5 linked regions of the Ovis aries genome follow. The main gene of each other region encodes a partner of the protein of the gene in region 2 in a complex. Links are inferred from orthologs where the notes say so. Each region holds a gene or a part of one and is shown on either strand. Other genes may lie near its edges.

The links.
Region 1: MEFV (region 2) and RIPK3 share a complex: the UniProt entries of both Homo sapiens proteins name them as parts of the AIM2 PANoptosome complex. The link is inferred for Ovis aries from reciprocal best matches to the Homo sapiens genes MEFV and RIPK3.
Region 3: MEFV (region 2) and RIPK1 share a complex: the UniProt entries of both Homo sapiens proteins name them as parts of the AIM2 PANoptosome complex. The link is inferred for Ovis aries from reciprocal best matches to the Homo sapiens genes MEFV and RIPK1.
Region 4: MEFV (region 2) and ZBP1 share a complex: the UniProt entries of both Homo sapiens proteins name them as parts of the AIM2 PANoptosome complex. The link is inferred for Ovis aries from reciprocal best matches to the Homo sapiens genes MEFV and ZBP1.
Region 5: MEFV (region 2) and CASP8 share a complex: the UniProt entries of both Homo sapiens proteins name them as parts of the AIM2 PANoptosome complex. The link is inferred for Ovis aries from reciprocal best matches to the Homo sapiens genes MEFV and CASP8.

The regions. Positions count from the first base shown.
Region 1 is NC_056060.1:20,648,036-20,652,292, reverse strand, and holds the start of RIPK3 (receptor-interacting serine/threonine-protein kinase 3), read right to left. Parts: upstream 2,801-4,257; 5' UTR 2,667-2,800; coding exon 2,647-2,666; intron 2,444-2,646; coding exon 2,303-2,443; intron 2,171-2,302; coding exon 1,861-2,170; intron 1,824-1,860; exon of another isoform or gene 1,540-1,823; coding exon of another isoform or gene 1,324-1,539; coding exon 1,178-1,323; intron 1,041-1,177; coding exon 994-1,040; intron 789-993; coding exon 621-788; intron 510-620; coding exon 424-509; intron 204-423; coding exon 1-203. UniProt on the Homo sapiens protein: Serine/threonine-protein kinase that activates necroptosis and apoptosis, two parallel forms of cell death. Necroptosis, a programmed cell death process in response to death-inducing TNF-alpha family members, is triggered by RIPK3 following activation by ZBP1.
Region 2 is NC_056077.1:3,232,484-3,235,996, reverse strand, and holds part of MEFV (pyrin), read left to right. Parts: intron 1-2,505; coding exon 2,506-2,736; intron 2,737-3,135; coding exon 3,136-3,158; intron 3,159-3,513. UniProt on the Homo sapiens protein: Involved in the regulation of innate immunity and the inflammatory response in response to IFNG/IFN-gamma.
Region 3 is NC_056073.1:49,697,683-49,701,995, reverse strand, and holds the start of RIPK1 (receptor-interacting serine/threonine-protein kinase 1), read left to right. Parts: upstream 1-1,508; 5' UTR 1,509-1,768; exon of another isoform or gene 1,769-1,939; intron 1,940-2,216; exon of another isoform or gene 2,217-2,866; intron 2,867-3,601; exon of another isoform or gene 3,602-3,863; intron 3,864-4,313. UniProt on the Homo sapiens protein: Serine-threonine kinase which is a key regulator of TNF-mediated apoptosis, necroptosis and inflammatory pathways.
Region 4 is NC_056066.1:58,234,211-58,237,723, reverse strand, and holds part of ZBP1 (Z-DNA-binding protein 1), read right to left. Parts: intron 3,316-3,513; coding exon 3,112-3,315; intron 2,917-3,111; exon of another isoform or gene 2,719-2,916; intron 2,277-2,718; exon of another isoform or gene 2,183-2,276; intron 2,107-2,182; exon of another isoform or gene 2,101-2,106; coding exon 1,888-2,100; exon of another isoform or gene 594-1,887; coding exon 442-593; 3' UTR 1-441.
Region 5 is NC_056055.1:203,637,555-203,641,067, reverse strand, and holds the end of CASP8 (caspase-8), read right to left. Parts: intron 3,152-3,513; coding exon 2,650-3,151; intron 1,121-2,649; coding exon 985-1,120; 3' UTR 66-984; downstream 1-65. UniProt on the Homo sapiens protein: Thiol protease that plays a key role in programmed cell death by acting as a molecular switch for apoptosis, necroptosis and pyroptosis, and is required to prevent tissue damage during embryonic development and adulthood.

The sequences.
Region 1 (4,257 bases), on a different chromosome or scaffold from region 2:
ACCTGCTCTCTCGGGACCCTGATGTTCTCAAGAAGGTTTGTACATTTTTCAGGAACAGAGCTGGGGCGCCCCTCCAGATTCAGCTTCATCATTTCAGAGCCCAGGGAATCATGGCTTCCTGTGGTTTCCTTAGGACTGTCTATTTCTGTCCTTTCCAGGCCTGGGCTGTTGCTGCCCCTGTACTCAGAAAGGAACTCCTTCACCTGTAGGGATGGGGAGCTGGCTGGGCATGGAGGTGGGAGAGCCGGAGTAAACCCAAGGGAGTTGGGTCCATATCTGTTGCCTGGGAACTCAGGGATGGGGTGAGGAGAGAGGGGACCATGGTCAAAGCTTAGAGAAGGGTGGTCAGTGGGGGGTCACTGAGTGGCCAAGGGGGCCGCGTTTGCCATCCTGCCCAGCTCCTGGGTGGGGGTGAGCACTCACCACGTAGACTGCGGCATTCATCTTTCTACCAGGCGCATCTCCTTTATTTACCAGATCAAGGGCTTTCTGGGTGTTTATTCGGCATTCTAGAGAGAAGGCAGAGTGGGTGGCAGGTCAACAAAATTTCTTTTCCGGGGGAGAAGCCCCTGCTGACAAATTCAGGCCTGTCTCAGCTGCCAGCCGGATGGCCAGCACACCTTGGAAGGAAGGCCTCTTCTGGGGCTCATGGCTCCAGCACCTCTGCATCAGATCTGCCAGCTCTTCCAAGCCAGGAGTCTCAGGCCCAGACGGGGGCAGCTCAGTCAGCGGGGGCCGGATCCGCCTCTCACACACTGCTTCCCGCACCAACAACGTCTGGGGCACTACTAGGGTGGGGGTAGGGGTGTGAAGAGAAGGCATTCAGAGTATGAAGGCTACCCCATCACGGAAAGGGCTGGGGAGTGTAGGAGATGTGAGGAGGGAGTGGGGCAGTCTGAGCAGGTAAACAGGAGGAAGAGGGCTTGGGGTTGGGAGACTGGGGGCTTAGAGGAGGGGGGCACCTGAGGTGAAGGATCCCAGAGTCTGTCTTACTCTCAGCTTCTCTTCCGGCTAGCACTGCCCATGTTAGGATCCCAAAGCTGCAGTAGACACAAAGCTGAGGCCTGACTCAACTGCTGGCAAGATTCCTTTCCATACAGCATCCCTTTGAAGGACCCAGGCAGGTGTAGAAATTGGGGATATATGTTTGGATATATGTTTGGAGTGGGTGCCTTACCTGTAGACATCACTGGCCCTGGAGGCCTTCTGGTTTATATTAGCCAACAGTTCTGGGGCCAGGTAGGCTGGGGTGCACCCTGACTCCCAAGATCCTGCCCCTGACTGTGAGCCTCCCTGAAATGTGGACAGGCCAAAATCTGCCACCTGCAAAAGGGAGATAAGAACGAGGAGATAGGGGATGGAACAAAAGGGAGATAAGAAGGAGATAGGGAATGGGCAGGTCCAAGAAACTCCCAGAACCCTTTCCTTACTCCTCTCCCCCCAAAAGTGCAGGCCCAGCCTTGCAAAGACTGTATGGAGGGTTAGGGGAAGGGTAGGACCAGTGGGGCCCCTGGCTGGAGGCCTGGGTCCCCTCTCCATGGCACCAGGTTGAGGTCTGAGTCTCCTGGGATAGATCAGCTACGGGTCTTTGGAGGCCCGTGGGGTGGGCCTGTGGAACTGACCAGGGTAAGTCAGGTGATGGTCAGGTGATGGTCAAGGCCTCCATCACCTGGTGTGGCAGGGGCCAGAGCTCCAGGCTAGGCCTTGACACTTGGGCAGCCCTGTGTCCAGAGGGAGATGCTGAGGGTATTCAGGAGACAGGGCTGCAGCAGATGCGGGTCCTATGTCCCGTGGATGGGGTTGGAGCAGCTCTGGGGCAGGACCTGGTCCAGAAGATGGGCTGGGTGAGGGTGGGCTGACCTTGGCGTGCAGCTCTGAGTCTAGCAGGACGTTGGAGGGCTTGAGGTCCCGGTGGAGAAGCACTGGGTTCTGGCTGTGCAGGTAGCACATCCCGAGCACCAGCTCCTGCAGCAGGCGGCAGAGGAGCGGCCAGGGCCGAGGGCAGTGGGGCTGTAGCAGCTCCGCCAGGGAGCCGTTCTCCATGAACGGAGTCACCAGAGCCGGCCCAGACACGTACTCCCACTCCAGCTTCTCGGTGACCCCCAGCAGGAGCAGCACATGCTTGTTATGCAGACTGGACATGGCCTTCACCTCCCTGGATATGGCCCTCCTGCTCTCAGGGGAGAGGTGCCGTCAGCTCTGCGCCCGAGCGACCCTCCCCGCCGCCCAGGCCCCGCCCCGCACAGCGGCCCCTCCTCCCCGGCCCAGCCTCCTGGACCAGACCCCACCTCGGGTCACTCACGAGTTCACGATCTTGACCGCCACTTCTACGCCCCAACTCCTGTGATGTGCCCGGAAGACAGAGCCAAATCCGCCCTTGCCTATTAACTCCGGGTTCTCCAGTTCCTCGATGGGCACCAGCGGGGCTGAGGCACCGCTGGGCCTGAGAGAGGGGGGCCACGTAACCAGCCGGCCGCGGGCCCAAGGCCTCCCTACTCCCCTCCGAGGCCCACCCCTCTAACCGCCCCCCGCGCCCACCTCCGTGACTCGGCTCAGCGCTGTCAGTTCGAGCCCCAGCCCCTCCCGTGAGACGCACTGTGCCCTGGTCTTGGCACGAGGCGCATCCATATCTCAGTCTCCACTCACCATAACGCAGAGCCAGACATCAGGCTGGAAGATGAGAGAAGCTTCTGGAAGTTGCGAGCCCCCACGGATGAAAGAGGGGTTGGGGGCGGGGAGAGGAATCAACCTCCAGGCTCCTTCACGGTTCCGCTTCCCGCTTCGCGGGGTTGTGCTCTCTGCCCGATCCACTTCCTTCTTTAATTGATGCCTCTACAGTCCCGCCCCGGGGGCGGGGAAGGGCACAGGGCAGGGTGCAGAACAGAAACTAGTGCTGCTCCCAAGGTGTCAGGTCAGGTCTGGTTGTCGCTGGGTATCCTCACCCTCCAGGAACCCGCAACCACCTCCTACCGCTGGCCTCTCTCCCTTCTTCCACAGGATTCCCAGCTCCAGCGCCAAGCTTGGGATACCGCGGCGGGGTTCGGGGAGCGGAGGGTTGGCGGGGGGCGGGGGGAGTGCGGGCGGTGGCGCTGAGTAGGATGTCATGGTCCTAGGACTCTGTTCTCCCACAGCTGCCCTAAGATCATAGTTAACACTTCTCTAAAGCTCACCACATGCCATTAGCTCACTTAATCCTCACATCAACCCAAGGGGATAGGTACTGCTTTTGTTACTTCTTTATAGGTGAGAAACCACTGAGCGTATAAGCACCTGGCCCAAGCTGACATGGAACTGACGTCAGAGCCTGGCTCTGAACCGTGAAGCTTTGCCGTTTTCACAAAGACGTCAGCTGGTGGGGAAGGTGACGGGGGAAGGTGTGGCTTGTCCACTGGGCTCTATTCTTTCCGAATACAGACCTCTCCCAGGGTGCTGTGGTCAGCTAGGTGAATTGGCCCACCAGAGAGTTGCTGATACTGTGGTGTACACGGCAGTGGAGACACCGCAGAGCCTCTCTGCCCTCTCTCCCCACCCTCCATTGCAAATTCTCTGGTTAATATTAATAAATCTTCCTGACAAACATGCTCTGGACAAGGGTCTTGGAGAACTCAGGAGCTTGGGGAGACTTAAGGATTCAGGGTTGACAAAAGGTGTTCATATTTTACCTGCCCAAGGCCTGACCATAGCTGAAGGTTATGGAATTAGATACGGCCAGCCTTAGGCACTCAGTCCTTCATGGGGAGACTCAACCCTGTGGGTCATGGGGCAAGACTCCCTGGAAGGTGCTCACCTTGTGGAACTTTCCATCCTGTCCAGTGGTCCATGGACTCCTCTAGCTGGAGCAAAAGTGGCCAGCAGTTAACTGTGGTTCCTCCAGAAACTGGAACTCCAGGATACACATCTTGAATTCTGATGGAGTCAGTGCATGCTATTTTTGACCTATTTAGGGAATTCTTAAATTGTAGTCTCTTTAAAAGCTGGTACAAGGTAGGTATCCAATAAATATTTGTTGAATTGGATTAATAAATGAACAACCCAAACTTTTTGAGGCTTCACTGAGATGCTAACCATCCCAGGTGGTGCTCCATAGTCAACAGAGAGGAGCTAGGAGGTTGGGTTTATTTCTGGTTTGGGGTCTCTTCACGTACCTGCGCAGTCGACAGAATTAATCTGAAGTCTTATGGTGATACGGTGGTATCTCACGGAATATAAAGGCAAGTCTGGAAGTTCCTCAAAAACGTCTAGTTCAGGACCTAAGAA
Region 2 (3,513 bases):
GCTCCATGTTGTTTTTATAATTGCTGTTTTTTTTTTTTACAAAAGCCATATTTATTTTTAAAATTCAAATGGTTAAAGTGGACATTTTCTTTTAAAACTGTGGTTCTGTAACACCCCAGATTCCAACAAGTACCACTTAGTAGCCTTCCTGTTAAGCTGTTGTTCAGACTCTTGGATGCTTTAGTTGCTCCTGTTTTCCCTTCGTGCAAAGGTGCCTAACTAACCCACAGAGCCTTGATTTGTCTGATGCATTTCTGTTGGTTGGATTTCATCTCCCTGAGTTCCAAACTTGTCAGGACACACCATACGGCAGTAAGAGACAGGCAAAGAAAACAAAGGGCAGGATGAGAGGGAGGTGGGTGGCAGCTGTCCAGGTGTCTGACTTTTGGGAAACTGCTGAAAAAAAGAAAGTTAAGTCACTCAGTCATGTCCGACTCTTTGCGACCCTGTGGACTGTAGCCTACCAGGCTTCTCTGTCCATGGGATTCTCCAGGCAAGAATACTGGAGTGGGTTACCATTTCCTTCTCCAGGGGATATTCCCGACCCAGGGATCGAACCCAGGTCTCCCGCATTGGAGGCAGATGCTTTAACCTCTGAGCCAGCTGAATGGTAGTCAAATGAAAACCCTTTCCTATAACCCCAGGTGGCTTGAACCTGTGGGTGGAGCAGAGGTCAGGGGTGCTCCCAGTGGGGTGGAGGATGGTGAGGCAGGAACTGGGCTCCTGGGCTGCTCAGGGAAACCCAGGGAGAGAAAAGTGTCCAGCCTTCCCTTCAGGCACAGTGACAATGGGCCCTTATGAAAAGGAAATGCTGTTTTCAGGCCTTCACCTCCTCCTCTTCAAATAATGAAAAAAAATTTTTTTAATCATAGAAAAGAGGGTAGGGAAAGCGCCTTTTTACAGCAGAAAGCCAGCTAAAACAAGTACAGAAGAAGAATAATTAAATTAGAATATTTCCACTATACAGTTGACACTGACAGGGATCAGCAACAGCAGCTAAATTTTTTAGGAAAAAACCGGCAGAGAATAGCATACTTACACACTCTCAAAGTACCACTCCCCAAATTACTTAGTAATTATAAAGGAAATAATATATATTTACAGTAGTGACTGGCAGACCCCTCCTTAACCAATTACCAACCATAGAATCCCTATCCTGATGATGGCAAACTGGATAGTCTTTGCCTCCCAATGGGATGGGCTAGAAAGAGCGCGGCATTAGGTCTATGGCAATCTCACCCCCACCGCATGTTTCTCCTGAATTTAATCATGAGCAAAATTATCAGAGAATTTTAGAATATAGGCCATTGAACAGGATGGTTGACCTGTCCTCTTAAAAAAAAAAAGTCCACATTATTGCCATCAACAACAAAAGGTGTCCCAGATTCCATGTTTAGGAACATCACATTGGAAGCTTGAGACTGGCCACAAGTCTCAAGTTAGACACATGTGGGAGTATCTACCCCCACATGTTTAGTGCTTAGTTGCTCCGTCGTGTCTGACTCTTTGCAACCCCATGGACTGTAACCAGCCAGGCTCCTCTATCCATGGGGATTCTCCAGGCAAGAATACTGGAGTGGGTTGCCATGCCCTCCTCCAGGGGATCTTCCTAATCCAGGGAACAAACCCAGGTCTCCTGCACTGCAGATTCTTTACCGTCTGAGCCACCAGAGAAGCCCATCTACGCCACAGAAACAGCAAATGCCGCATCCCAGTCTTGGTTTTTTTGTTGATAGTCTAGACTCAGACAGTGAGTGATGGGGAAAGTGACTTGTGCAGACCAGAGGCACGGGTGTGTGTCTGCGGTGCTGTGCTGTGAAGACCGGGAGAACACTCTTCCACATGCGAAACCCAGCATGTGATTCAGCAAAGGCTGCTGATGTTACAGGGGAAGGTGTGAGGTTCCACATGCATCGAGTTCATAGTCTTACTCCTTAATTACAGAAAGATACCAGGCAGTGTCGGAACCACTATCGTATGTCAACTAGGGGACCACAGGTGGCAGGGGAACAGGGGCCAGGCAAACATCCATAAAGCATCCTGGGAGGCCCTGGGCTGTCTGGAATTTACACCAGAGTTCTACCCACTAGCAGTCTTTGTTGTGTCTAGCAGTTTTGCTAATAAAGGAATGTGCCCGTATTAAAATTAACAACAAAAGGTGCAGAGACATTTTTGGTTCTAAAGAACTTGAAATTTAGTCCTGTCCTTCTGAGCCAAAAATGAGATTTCTTCTGTACGGTCTATGTGAAGGGTCCTCTCCCTCCTTGGACGAAGGAAAGTTACCCTAGAGCAACTTCATGTGTCCACCACAACTTTCTAGTGATGAGAAAGTCAAGCGTGGCCAGTGTGCAAGAGTACTGGAAGTCAAGTTCACTTGCATCCAAATAGATGGACTGACTTGCCCCCAATCAGGGGGAGGAGAGAGGACTCTCCCTTTGGAAAGTGGGCTTCTGGGTATTCCCTGAGCAGACAGGCCCCTACATCTCCCTAACTTCTGTTCCCCAGAAACAAGCTGAAACCCAAAAGCAGAGAATCCAGTACCAGTTGGAGCAGCTGTGCCAGTTTTTAGAGCAGCAGGAGCGGCTCTTTGTGGCCTGGCTAGAGGAGTTGGGCCAGACCATCGGCCAGGTTAGGGAGACATATGGCACCCGAGGGACGAGGGACATCGCCCTTCTCGACGAGCTGATTGGGGAGCTGGAGGCCAAGCAGTGCCAGCCAGAGTGGGAGCTTATGAAGGTGAGCGCGGCTGGGCCTGGCCTTCCTCTGTCCACCATGCCCAGTAGGATGACAGGGGCTCCCAATACTGCCATCAGCTCTCCCCAACCCAGTGGTGAGGCCCTTGGGGCTGGGGTGGGACTTGTCCTTGGTGACCCATAATGCCTCTTGTGCTCAGGCCCCTGCAATGCACCCTCAGGAACCCATGGTGGCCTAGAATCTAGGGTATCCATTAGCATCTCCCAGATGTCAGCAGACTTTGGGTACGGTTGTGGTCAGGCCCCAGCTGAGTTGCCACCTTGGTGATTAGAACTGGGGAGAGGGGCCCTGTTTTTGCTGACACTCTGGGACAGGGAGGCCAGGAGTCAGCACAGCCCTTACAACACTGGTGATGGAGAACTTCTCTCTTTTCTCTCCTAGGACATTGGAGTCACCTTGCACAGGTACCAAGAGATCCCCTGATGATCCCTTGGTGGTCGGGGGGCGGGGGGGGGAGGGTCCTGCAGGTAGCATCTGGGGAGGCAGCCCTAGGAGGGAGATGCTCCCAACCCCGGGGATGTGCCTCCTCCCATCTCCTGCAGCTTCCGAAGGCCTTTCTGGATTTGTGTAGGAAGAATGGGAGCATGATCAGGAGGGGAGTGCAGGACTGAAGACGGAACCCAATGAACACACCTGTCGCATGGTGGTGGCTTTCTAGGAATAACAGCCTGTGTCCTGTGCAATTCACCTTGTGAAAACTGTTCTGCAGGACTGCCTGCTTGCAGGCACAGGGAGAGAGGCACTTTCCAGAAGTGGATC
Region 3 (4,313 bases), on a different chromosome or scaffold from region 2:
CCTTTCTGGAAAGGCCCCTGTCAAGTGCTCCTAACCGACTCGCGTGACAGCAGACTCTAAGGGATTGACTCTTGGACTCACGTGACACACTTAAAGAGAGCGCTACCCCTACTGGACCTGCATGTCATCTGGTGACCTGAGAGTAGACTGTTCAGAATTGAAGCAGATGACTTCTAATGAGACAGTTTTCCCAAAATACTCAGAACAGGCCTGTTGGAGTTGGTCACCACACTTTCGATGACGACACTTCAGATGATCGCCACTGTCTGTTATCCTGGAAATGTGTGAACTTTAGGCAAAAAGTGTTCACAGTTCTGCTACTCCTTGTTACTCAAATGGAACCTCAATAGGTTTGCAATCCACACTTTCCCTCGGATGTGAAATTGTACAAAGGAAAGGGCCTCCCTGGCATTGAGATACGAAGTCACTGACACACAAAAATCTCACACTTGGATCACCACTGCTTTCTGAGAGATTCTGATCAAAAGGGGGAAATGTAAAAAACAAACACACAAAAAACAAATCTCAAAGAGTCAGGAGATAGAAAGGCTGGAGAATCTTTTCTAGCAGAAATCTTTTTTTTTCCCCGGCAATGATTCAGCCCATGAAAAGCAGTGGACTTTTAAAACATCTCTCCAACTTCCTTTTCCCCCATAAAGGTGTCCTCTCCATTTGCATGCAAGTTCCCAGGGTGGCAGACCTCAAATTGCAATTCTTTTCATAATAAACTTGTTTATGCTAGAGAAATAGTTGGCAGTCCATTTATTTTAGGCAGACAATATGTGGTGGCATCTCATTGGTTTTTCACAGTTTCCTAATATCCTATAATATTGAGCATCTTTTCATATACTTACTTGTCATTTGTATCGTGAGAAGTCTGTTGAGATCTTTTGCCTTTTCTCAATTGCATTTTTCCTTCTCTGGCATTTCTAGTATACTTTGGGTAACAGTATTTTATCAGCTATGCTTTCTGCAAATATTTTCTCAGTTTGTGGCATCTCATTACCTCCAGATATCTTTTTATAGTATGTAATCATGCTATATATATAATCAACTTTTCATCATAACACTATAGCAACCATTTCCCATTTTGCTTCAGACTTCCCAACCATCCTCGTATGATGCTGGTTCCTCCGCAGCCCCACAGAAGAGATTATCCCCACTTCACAGGTGAAGGAGATAAATGCCTGGGAGCTTGCTGCCTAGGGTTCCCGCGCTGCTGACCTGCAGAGCTCAGAATCCCCCGGGGAAGCAGCCCATCGTCTCCGGCCCTGCCCGCCGCGCCCGGCAGGTTTCTGTGAGTGGTTTCCGTGACTCGGCATTTCCTCTGTCCTCTCGGCCTCCCAAACCGCTCTGAGAGCACGATCCTCAGTCTGAGCGCGTCCCGGGGTTTCAGAACGGGCCCGGAGACCTTTCCAGACGCGGGGCGGGCGCTCTCCCCACCCTCCTCAGGGGCAGGAGCGGAGGCGGAGCGAGCAGTCCACGCCCTCCGCCGGCCGGGCTCCCTCAGTCGAAGCGCCGGCGGCGCGGACACCGCATCGGTGTCCCGGAGCGCTGACCCCGGAGCGCGGGGCCCCAGCGGGCCCACTCCGCGAGGAGCCCGAGCGCGCCGACCACTGGACAGCACGCGACGGACGGCTGGCCCGCGGAGCCGGGCGCGGTGAGGGCAGGGCAAGGCGGGGCGGTCCCCGCCCGCCTCCCAGCCGACGGCTCCGCCCCGGAGACCCCTAATCGGGCCCGGCGTGCCACCCCGGCCTGCGCCGGCCAGGTACTGCCGGGCGTCGGAGCAACTCTAGGCTGCCCCGCCGCCTCCTTCCTCACCCGGCCTGGGGCCTCAGGAAGTCTCCCGCGAAAGCGAAAGCGAATCTCTCGGTGCGTCAGCGCGGGACCGCCGGGCCCAGACCAGTCTCTGGGGCAGGCTTCCGGCAGGGGGCGGGGCTTCTGCTTCCGGTGGGTGGGGCGGGCGACGCGGCTGCCGGAGTTCGGGCGGTGGGCGTGGCCCGCGGCGTTCCTGAGGTCTGGCGGTGGGCCAGTGGGGTGGTGGGCGTGGCCCGCGAGTTCTCAGAAGGCAGACGGTGGGCCTTTAGGGTGGTGGACGTGGCCCGCGAGTTCCCGGAAGTCAGACGGTGAGCCGGTAGGATGGTGGGCGTGGCCCGCGAGTTCCCGGAAGTCAGATGGTGAGCCAGTAGGAGGGTGGGCGTGGCCCGCGAGCTCCCGGAAGTCGAGCGCCCAACTGCCAGCCGTCGGCGGTCCCTGCGGCGTCTCGTCTCGCCGGGAGTTTGGGTCTGGCGGGACCGGGCAGAGATTTGGCTCCCGCGCGATAACTGCCTGAGGTGGAGACGGCCCGCCACGTGGTTTGCGCTGTGGTGTCAGGGGAGGTGGCCGGTCTTCCCTGCGGTGTCGTTACGAGCTTTCGCCGCCCCGGGTCACGGGGGCGCCGGGGCCGCCGCTGCTCGCGACGCCGTCAGACGCCTTCCCGCGCCGTCTTCGAGGAGAGCTGGGAAAGAAGGGTCGACGGGCACGGCGGGGAGGGCGTCGTCCCCCGGTGGCGCGTGCTTTTACTAAGTGACTGAGCGCGCACACGCTCTCGTAGCCTCTTTAGAGTTTTGAAGAGGGTGAGCGCCACCCTTCTTTGCTCACGCTGGACAGCCTCCCACAGAGGCGGGGTTACTGTTCATTACTTTGTCTCTCGCTGTTCCTTCGGCTCTTCCTTGCTCGGAGCTCTTGCGTGTCCTGGACAAAGCCCGAGGCCCGTTACACTCAAGCGACTTTGCAATAGAACCGCTATTACTTCTCCCTCCATTCACACATGAAGAAATCAAGGCAGGAGTGACTTCTTCCTTGATCTACGTTTTGTAACCATCAGGTACGTAGGTGCAAGAGTGGGGAGGAGATTGTAGTCAATTATAAGTATGGGGAACTGCCCCCTTCTAAACACAAAAGGGAAAGAGGAAGCTTGTTTAAAGCAGTTGAGGTATCTCATCATCGTAATTATTATTACTGGTAAAACAACTATCATGATTAACTGTAATTTGCATGCTTCACTGAGCTGAATTGAGCACCACAGATACATTGCACTTTCAGGATTGTGAATATTCACGAGAATAAAGAAAAATATCCCTAAATAACAGTTTCCAAAATTGAAAATTTCTCTTGGATGCTTATTAATCAACAACATGGTAATACCACCAGTATGAGCTGGGAATTTGAAAAAGCACAGCTTCCCATGCTATGGTTGGACGTTATACTTCGGCAAAAATGATCGTGTTAACCTGTAGAATATTGATTTTGAACCGCATGTTTTCATATGTTTTTAAAATTTAGTCTGTACTTTCCCTATGTTTCTGAATGTAGCATACTTATTTAGTATAGGTGAGCAAAATTGTAAGATTAGGTCTTTGAATCTGATTTTAAGGAAGACAAATTATTGTTTACTCTCTGGAGAAGTAGCATGTGTTACTGAACTGATAGTGGAAATTTGAGTGAAGACATTAAGACTCAATTCTGGGATCTGTTACTCTAGGTGAATCATTAAACTCCAAATTATAGTTTCTCAGTTTGTAACTTGGAACCGATGTATTAATAAGTTGGTACTTCACAGGGTCATCATGTGCAAGATACACTGGGTTGAACTCTTGTAGTTTTCTCTCTTGCTCAGAGCTCTTGTTTATCTGAGGCAAAGCATCAAGCAGTTAAAATCAAAGAACCTTGAGAAATTCCCATTGGATGCCTGAGTAAAAACAGAGTTCCATGTGCAGAGGAAAAGGGGGTCATGATAGTCGGGTAGCCAGCATTTTCTGTCAGACTCCTCATGTATGGTCCTCACTGAAACACTGAAAAAAATCGCCCTCAACCACTTAAAGGTAAATATGAAATTTTTTTAACTTAAAAAAATTATTTATTGTGATACACAGAAAAGAACACACATCATAACTGTTTGACTCTCTTAATTGTCCTGAAGTGAACATTAAGAAGAGACAAGTATCGCCCTCACGCCCGACACTTCCTTCCTTCCCTGCTGGCTGCTTCCACCTCTCAGTAACTACTGCCCTAAGTGTTAACATTGTAGATTCATTTTCCCTGGCTTTTTGATGTTATATATTGTTAGTTATTTGTATTCTTCCCCAGTTTTACTGAAGTATAGTTGACAAAATTGAATGTCGATATGAATATTTTTTATATAGACTTACAGATAACTTGTGAAGTTTCTTGGAATTTCCAATTAATTTCAATTAATTTCCAATTAATTTCAATTAATTTTCCAATTAATTTTGAAAATCCATTAAAATAGACCGTTATATTCTCTGTTGAAA
Region 4 (3,513 bases), on a different chromosome or scaffold from region 2:
GGTAGGGGCAGGGGTGGCCGGAGGAACTGAGCCTGGTGACAGGAAGCAGAGCAGCCATCAAGAGACCAGACCCGGACAGAGCAGGACAGACCTGGCCACAACATAGGGAGGGGACAGCAGCTGCTCAGGCCTGTTGGGACCTGACGGCCCACCGTGATTGCAGTGCCCACTTTACTTCCGGCCTTTGTTCTTAATAAACTCACTCCTTTCTGGAAACTCTATTCCAAGCCGCACTCAGACTGCCTCGACACAGCCCTCACACCGTGCCGGGTCCAGCCCAAATGCTGACCCACACTGGCCACGCGTCCGGAGGCGAGAAGGTAAGAAATAACATGGCAGCAGAGAGCTCACCCGCCCCCAGGCTCTTTCTGTGTGTCTGCCTGCAGGCTGTTTGCCCTGAGTCCCACCCCTCTGGGGACACCGGCTCTTCGGGTCCATCACTCAGCAGGTGTCTTCTGTGTTTTCGGAGTCATGCCTCTCAAGGGTCGTAGCTGCCAGGTTTTCTGAGATGAGCGTCTCAGCGCTGACGGGGTCAGCCCGACTGCCAACAGGAGGGACCTCGCTTCTGGATGGTGCATCTCGGTGGGGAGGCTCTGGGGAAGAGAAGGGACCCCAGGAACACGTCAGCCATCTCCCCACGAACAACTGAACAACCGAGGTGACTTGGCTCATGGTTGCTGAAGCCGCTCCCTGGGGTGCAGGCTTCACGGGTGGATGGCCTCACGTCCCCATCTACAAAGCCCTATCCTTTCTCCCCCAGACCAGTGCTCCCACTTCCTCCCTGCCTTTGATTTCAGGTTATCTTTGGTCAGACTTTTAAATTGTGCCCCACATCATGCTGTCCCCCTGCTCCAGCCCCCCAGGCCTCCCCAGCTCACTTCAGATAAGACCCAGGCCTTTTTCCTGGGCTTCCCATCAGGGAGAGACCCAGCCTTGCCCACTGGATCCCACCCCTCTGCTCCCTGGGCTCATGTGTGTGGTCCTGGACTTTGTTCCCATCTCAGGGCCTTTGCACTTGCTGTTCCCTCTGCCTGCAGTGCTCTTCCCACATCTATGCTTGTCTGGTTCCTCCCTTCCTACAGGCCTGGGCACAGATGCCACCTCATCCTGAGGGTCTCTGTCGGCCTGGCTAAGGCACATCTACTAGGTCACACTGCTGCCTACCTGCCGCCTCCCGTTTTAGAGTTCTTTTTAGTGCTGGTCTCAAAAGGCTAGTCTCTACTTGCTACTGGACTCTTATCTCATGAGTGGGGTGTATTTGTCTCTTTGTGCTCTTAGCTGTATTTCCAAGGACGGGGAGGGTTTTTGTGCAGGAGTGGGGCCAAAGTGGGTGAATGAATGAATGAATCAATGACTTCTTCCTAACAACTGAAGACGTGGGAGAAGCGTAAGATGGCTACAGCATTATTCGTGGGGAAGAATTAGTGAGCTGGGTGACTAAGAGTAGAGGAATGATCATGTTCCAGAAGGTTCCAAGGCAGCCCAGCCTCATGGCATGTGGCTTGGGTGGTCACACAGGCCCTTCAGATGGGCCTGTGTTCGGCTTACTGCTTTCCGGTCTTTGTCTTGAAATTCTTCCTAAATTTTGAACAAGGAGCCTTGCTTTTTCTTGCTGCACCAGGCCCCACAAACGTGTCACTGGTCTGATCCAGGTGCGGCAGCAGTGAGTGGAGCGCATCCAATCCTCCCCACAGCCCAGGAGCCATGGGCTCCTCTAACCCTCAACTGATAGATGGGGAAGCAGAGGCTCCCAGCTGAGTGATGGGTTAGGTGTTCTCCACTTCTGCCATGACTCTCCTGCCTCCCCGACTCCAGGAAACGGGAGATTCAGGACTGTTGAGTGAATGAGAGAGAGAGCATGGGGCCCCCGCCCTGCCCCAGGCTCACCTGCATCCCCTCCTGTTTCCCTAGGCCTTTGGACTCCCTTGACATCAGCTGCCCCCGGGTGGACCATCATCCTGTTGCTGTTGCCGACGGTGGTGTCCTCGAGGAAGCAGGAGCGAATGTGGATTCTCTGGGACGTGACCCCTTCGGACTGAGGTCCTGGTTCAGGGATTTGAATTTCGATGGAAGCTTCTGGGCTGGTACCCAGGACAGAGGCTGCAGGTTGGTCATAGAAAGGGATTTGGGGAGGGGGTGTGAGCAGCTGGACAGCAGGCCTGACCTCCAACATGGCTCCCAGATCCTCCACAGCTGACCGTCCTCCTGGAGCCTCCCTGCAGTGGTCCATGCCATGCTCTGTCATTGGCAGACACGTGGCCTCACGTGGTGACTCTGTATGTACATGCCTGGGCTGCCAGCTCTCTCGGCCCCTGGGTCTGCCAGCTTGAGCTCCCCTCCTGCTGCCTGTCCCCACTGACCTGGTCCCCTGTGCCTCCCCAGGCACTCAGCCACTGCCCCTGTGGACCCCTGTCCCTGCCCCTCTGCTGCCTGCCTTCTGGCAGCTCTGGAACACCATCTCCATCTTCAGTTAAAATCTTCACATGGCCCCCGGCCCAGTCCCCAGCCCCTGCCATCTTGCTCCTGCCTCCTCTGCCAAACTTCAAAAGAGAGCTGGACATGCTCTGTCTCACCTTTGTCCACTGCCCTCGCTCCTTCTGGCCCCTCAGCTCACCGCAGACCCCTTGCTGCCAGACCCCGTGACCCTCCCTTGATCTTAAAGCCTCTTCTCTTCTGGAAACTTGTGCCCTGGCATCCCTGGGGCTCCTCCTCTCCCAGGCCTCTCTGCTGCATCTCCCCCAGCCTGTCTCTGGATGCCCAGTGCCAGCGAGGACATCGTCTCGGCCCTCTGGTCAACAGCACCTAGGTGGCTCCTTAGATGCCTTTCCAGCCCAGCCATCTCCTTTGTCTCTGCTTCATCTGGCCCAGGAAATGATCCCTGCCCATTGTAGAGATGAGGACATCGAGGTTTCCTAGGTGAGTAGCAGGAATGGGAATCCTTGTGTTAACTCTGCCAGACCCCCTTGCTCTACTCTGTGGACAGCCTCTTGGTGGGATGGAAAGAATTTCCCATAATGCCTCTCTCACCACAAGGACTGGCTCAAGTCCCATGTATTGAGGAGGCCAGGTGGGGTGGGGTGGGGGCAGGATGGCAGCCCATTGTCTCATTACCTGGGGGGCTGTCAAAGGCGCCGCAGGCAGAGCCCTTGGCTGGGTTGCTGTGAAGTCGCATCTCATTGCCATGTCCCATCTGAACTCGCCTGAGCACAGACTTCTCCATCCGGATGTCCTGGGGCCCCCTGGATCCAGCCAGGGAATCCAGAGTTGAGGGATCAGCAGAAGGCATTGGAGGGAGGTAGCAGGGAGCTGTGGAGCCTGGTAGAGGACATGGAAACATGACCCTTAACCCCCACCCTCTGCTACCGCTCTTCCCACCCCCTCCCCACTATGCACACAGGTAAATCCTAGCCAGACAGAGGAGACACCGGCAGACTGGGAATGATTACTTTAGGCTCTGAATTGAAGAGCAGGTGGATCGGCAGAACAGTTAGCGTGGGTTTCCAGGGTTTTATA
Region 5 (3,513 bases), on a different chromosome or scaffold from region 2:
CCAAACATTTTCTACCTGTAAGACTAGGTTCTATTGGCAAAAAAACAAAAACAATCTCCAAGGCATAGTATGATAAAATTATATTTTATTCTGTTAAAAATATTTATTACATTACTAATTATTAATTACTAAAGATTTAAAGTGAATTGAACATATAAAGAAAGAGCAAACATATAAAAGGCATACTGCATTTTTAGTAAAAAAGCAAATCATGTTCAGCACTGCAGAAGCATGTATATAAAAACTTTTCAGTTTGGAAAGAGTCTTTAAAAAACAAAATCATTTGGTATTTTTAAAATCTTTAATATATGAATTTTAAAATTTTTTTATTTTACAAAATATTGCAAATTAGTATAAAGGACAGCTTGGGAAAAGATCTACTGGAAGTATAAAACGAGTTAATATTAACATCATTTCTCTTAAAAGTATGTTGAATGCCGCATTTATGAATAATTCTTTTAAAAAAGGAAAATAATCTCTAAGCTTTTGAAACTGAAGTCTAAAGAGTGGTGGTTTTCACCACTGAAAATCAGAGTCTGCTCATGGCTAAGGAGAGGAGGGTCACATGTTTCCAGGACAGCTTATCATACACATCAGTAGCAATCAGGCTGGATGTGGGAACTTTATACCCTGAACCTCAATAGTCGAGGGGATTTTTCAGCTAGGTCAGATCACAAAAATCTCCCTCCATGATCTTTGATATTTCTTTTAAACTTACTGTGTTTTTTGTGTTTATTTTAGTTCATTTTTAAACCTTTTCATCAAATTAAAAATACAATTGAAATCAAGACCACAGCTATGACTGTTATTGTCTACAAAGCCAGAGATTTAGGCTTGAATTTGCATAAAAATTATGTTGTCCTGACTCTCATGATATGCCAGCTATTTGAAAATAAAAAGAAGAAGAAAGAGAATAAAGTAGCAGCATTTTAACTATTGTTCAGTTGCATAACTATTGTCTAGTTATACAACTAAACAATAGCATCAATTAAGAGGAAAGAAGAGTTTTTTTCGCAGTGTGAAAGTAGGTTGCGGCATCTGTTTGCCCATGTTTTGCTTGTCATCCTTTTTGCTTACTTCGAAGTTCACCTTGGTTAGGATGGTCAGAATGTCTTCACCCCTGAAAAATGTAACAGAACCTTGTTATTACATATCTATGGGAGGAAATCACTATCATCTACTGTGGTTAATGATAATTATTTCCCTCAAAACATCAGGCATTTGAATTCATAAGGTGTTAAACCAAGGCCTACCCCAGCTTTCTCGGTAAAGAAGTTCTCAGAGCTTCATAACTTACCTTTGGTTTATTTGGGATCTTAAGACCATCCGAAACCTCAGTGTCAACACTGGATTTGGTTTCTTTCCCTCCTGACCTATTCGTACCTTACTCACGCATTGGAGAAGGAAACGGCAACCCACTCCAGTGTTCTTGCCTGGAGAATCCCAGAGACAACGGAGCCTGTTGGGCTGCCGTCTTTGGGGTTGCACAGAGTTGGACATGACTGAAGCGACTTAGCAGCAGCAGCAGCAACTCCAAGTACTATGTCACTTACCCACTAATCTCCCCAAGGCCCCTCAACATCCTCTGCCTCAAATTGGCATTGCTTCTGTGGATTCGTTGATGGCCCCATCAAACTTGAAGCAAGTAGAAATAGAATGTCTCCTGCAGCAACTCCACCCCTTTCTCACCAGCACCTCTTATCAGTTTAGTTGGGCAACCTGTTCATTCACCTCTGTAGCTAGCTCCCTGGAACCTTGCAGGTTCATTCACTGTCTAAGTTGCAAAATGAAAATATAGCCTAGATGTTATGGTTCCCTCTCAGTCCTTTCTCTGCCATGGACAATTCTTGCTCTTCACACACTTAAAACATAATAAGACACAAAACTAGAAGCAACTTGCAGAGGAGTTCTTGCTATTTATTCGCTGGTTGTATGTCCATTAGGTGAACTAAGCCATACAAAACTATCATTTAACTATGGAAACATAAGATAATAAATGAGAAAAAGATATTTTCCCACATGTTGTGAGCTTCAAAGCAGTCAAATTATTGGCAATATAAAAGGTTTCTACTCTTGGCTCTTAACTCCCACAAAAGGGTTTGAGGTTGGTGAGCTATTATAGAAGTCTTCCCTGGTGGCTCAGATGGTTTGAAAAAAGAAAAATCCACCTGCAATGCAGGAGACCTGGGTTCGCTCCCGAGTTCGGAAGATACCCTGGAGGAGGAAATAGCAACCCACTCTAGTACTCTTGCCTGGGAAATTGCATGGACAAAGGAGCCTGGTGGGCTACAGTCTATGGGGTCATAAAGAGTCAGACACAACTGAGCAACTAACACTTTCACTTTTGACAGAGTAAGAGAATGTTAAACATTGAAATTCCAAACTTGTTGAGTGGGTTCAGTCATGTTTCTGCCTAAAAACAGAGCTGTACTATATGATTTTGCCATCTCTCCAGCTCTATGATATACTGATGGCCCTTTGTGCTAAATAAAAGAAAATCCTCTGTAAGCATCTCAGGTTCTTCCATCTGTGAACTAAAGATCTTAACACTTGCTGTCTCTTTCACTCTGCAACTGACCTGAGAATCAGCTACGTGATCCACAACTAGACATTTGGAGATGAATGTAGGATTGAATAAGCAAAAATTACCTAGGACATCTTTCTCTCAGGTTCTGACAAAGCGATTGGATATACCAGGTCCCCTTCACGATGCTTCGGTAGGAAACACAGTTGTTCACAGTGGCCATCCCCAGCAGAAAGTCAGCCTCATCTGGGATATATCTCTTCTGAGGTGACGAATCCGCTTCTAAATAGGCTTCCCTCTGTTCTGAGTCGGTCTCAACAGCTATTCCTCTCTGGTACTTATCCCCTTGACAAGCCTGAATAAAAAAGATTTTGGGTTTGCCGACAAGGGAAGGGCATTTTGATCCAGTGAAGTAGGAGGTCAGCTCATAGATGGGGGCTTCTTGCCCATCGGAGCCATAGATGGTGCCCTTGTTTCCATGGGTAAGGATGCAGCAGATGAAGCAGTCTTTGGTTTTGTGGTCCTTCTTCTGGTAGGATTTCAGAACCTCACAGATTCCCTTTGCTGTTTGGTCTCTGTAGTGCACTATCTCAAAATGAAGTTCACGAAAGGTCTTGTCCAAAGCCTCTGAAAAGTGAAACAAGAAAAATCATATTGGGCCTCCCTGGTGGTCCAGTGGTTAAGAATCTGCCTGCCAGTGCAGAGGGTATGGGTTAGATCCTGGTCCAGGAAAGTTCCACATTCCTTGGAGCAACTAAGCCTGGGGCATAGCAACAACTGAAGCCTGCATACTCTAGTGCCCATGCTCTGCAAGAAGAGAAGCCACCACAATGAGATACCTACACACCAGAGAGAATAGCCCCCACTCACTGCAACTAGAGAAAGCCCACACACAGCAATGAAGACCCAGTGCAGCCATAAATAAATAAGTTTATTGAAAACAAAAGAAAGAAAAGTCAATAGTATACGGCAGTAATTCCTAGACCACA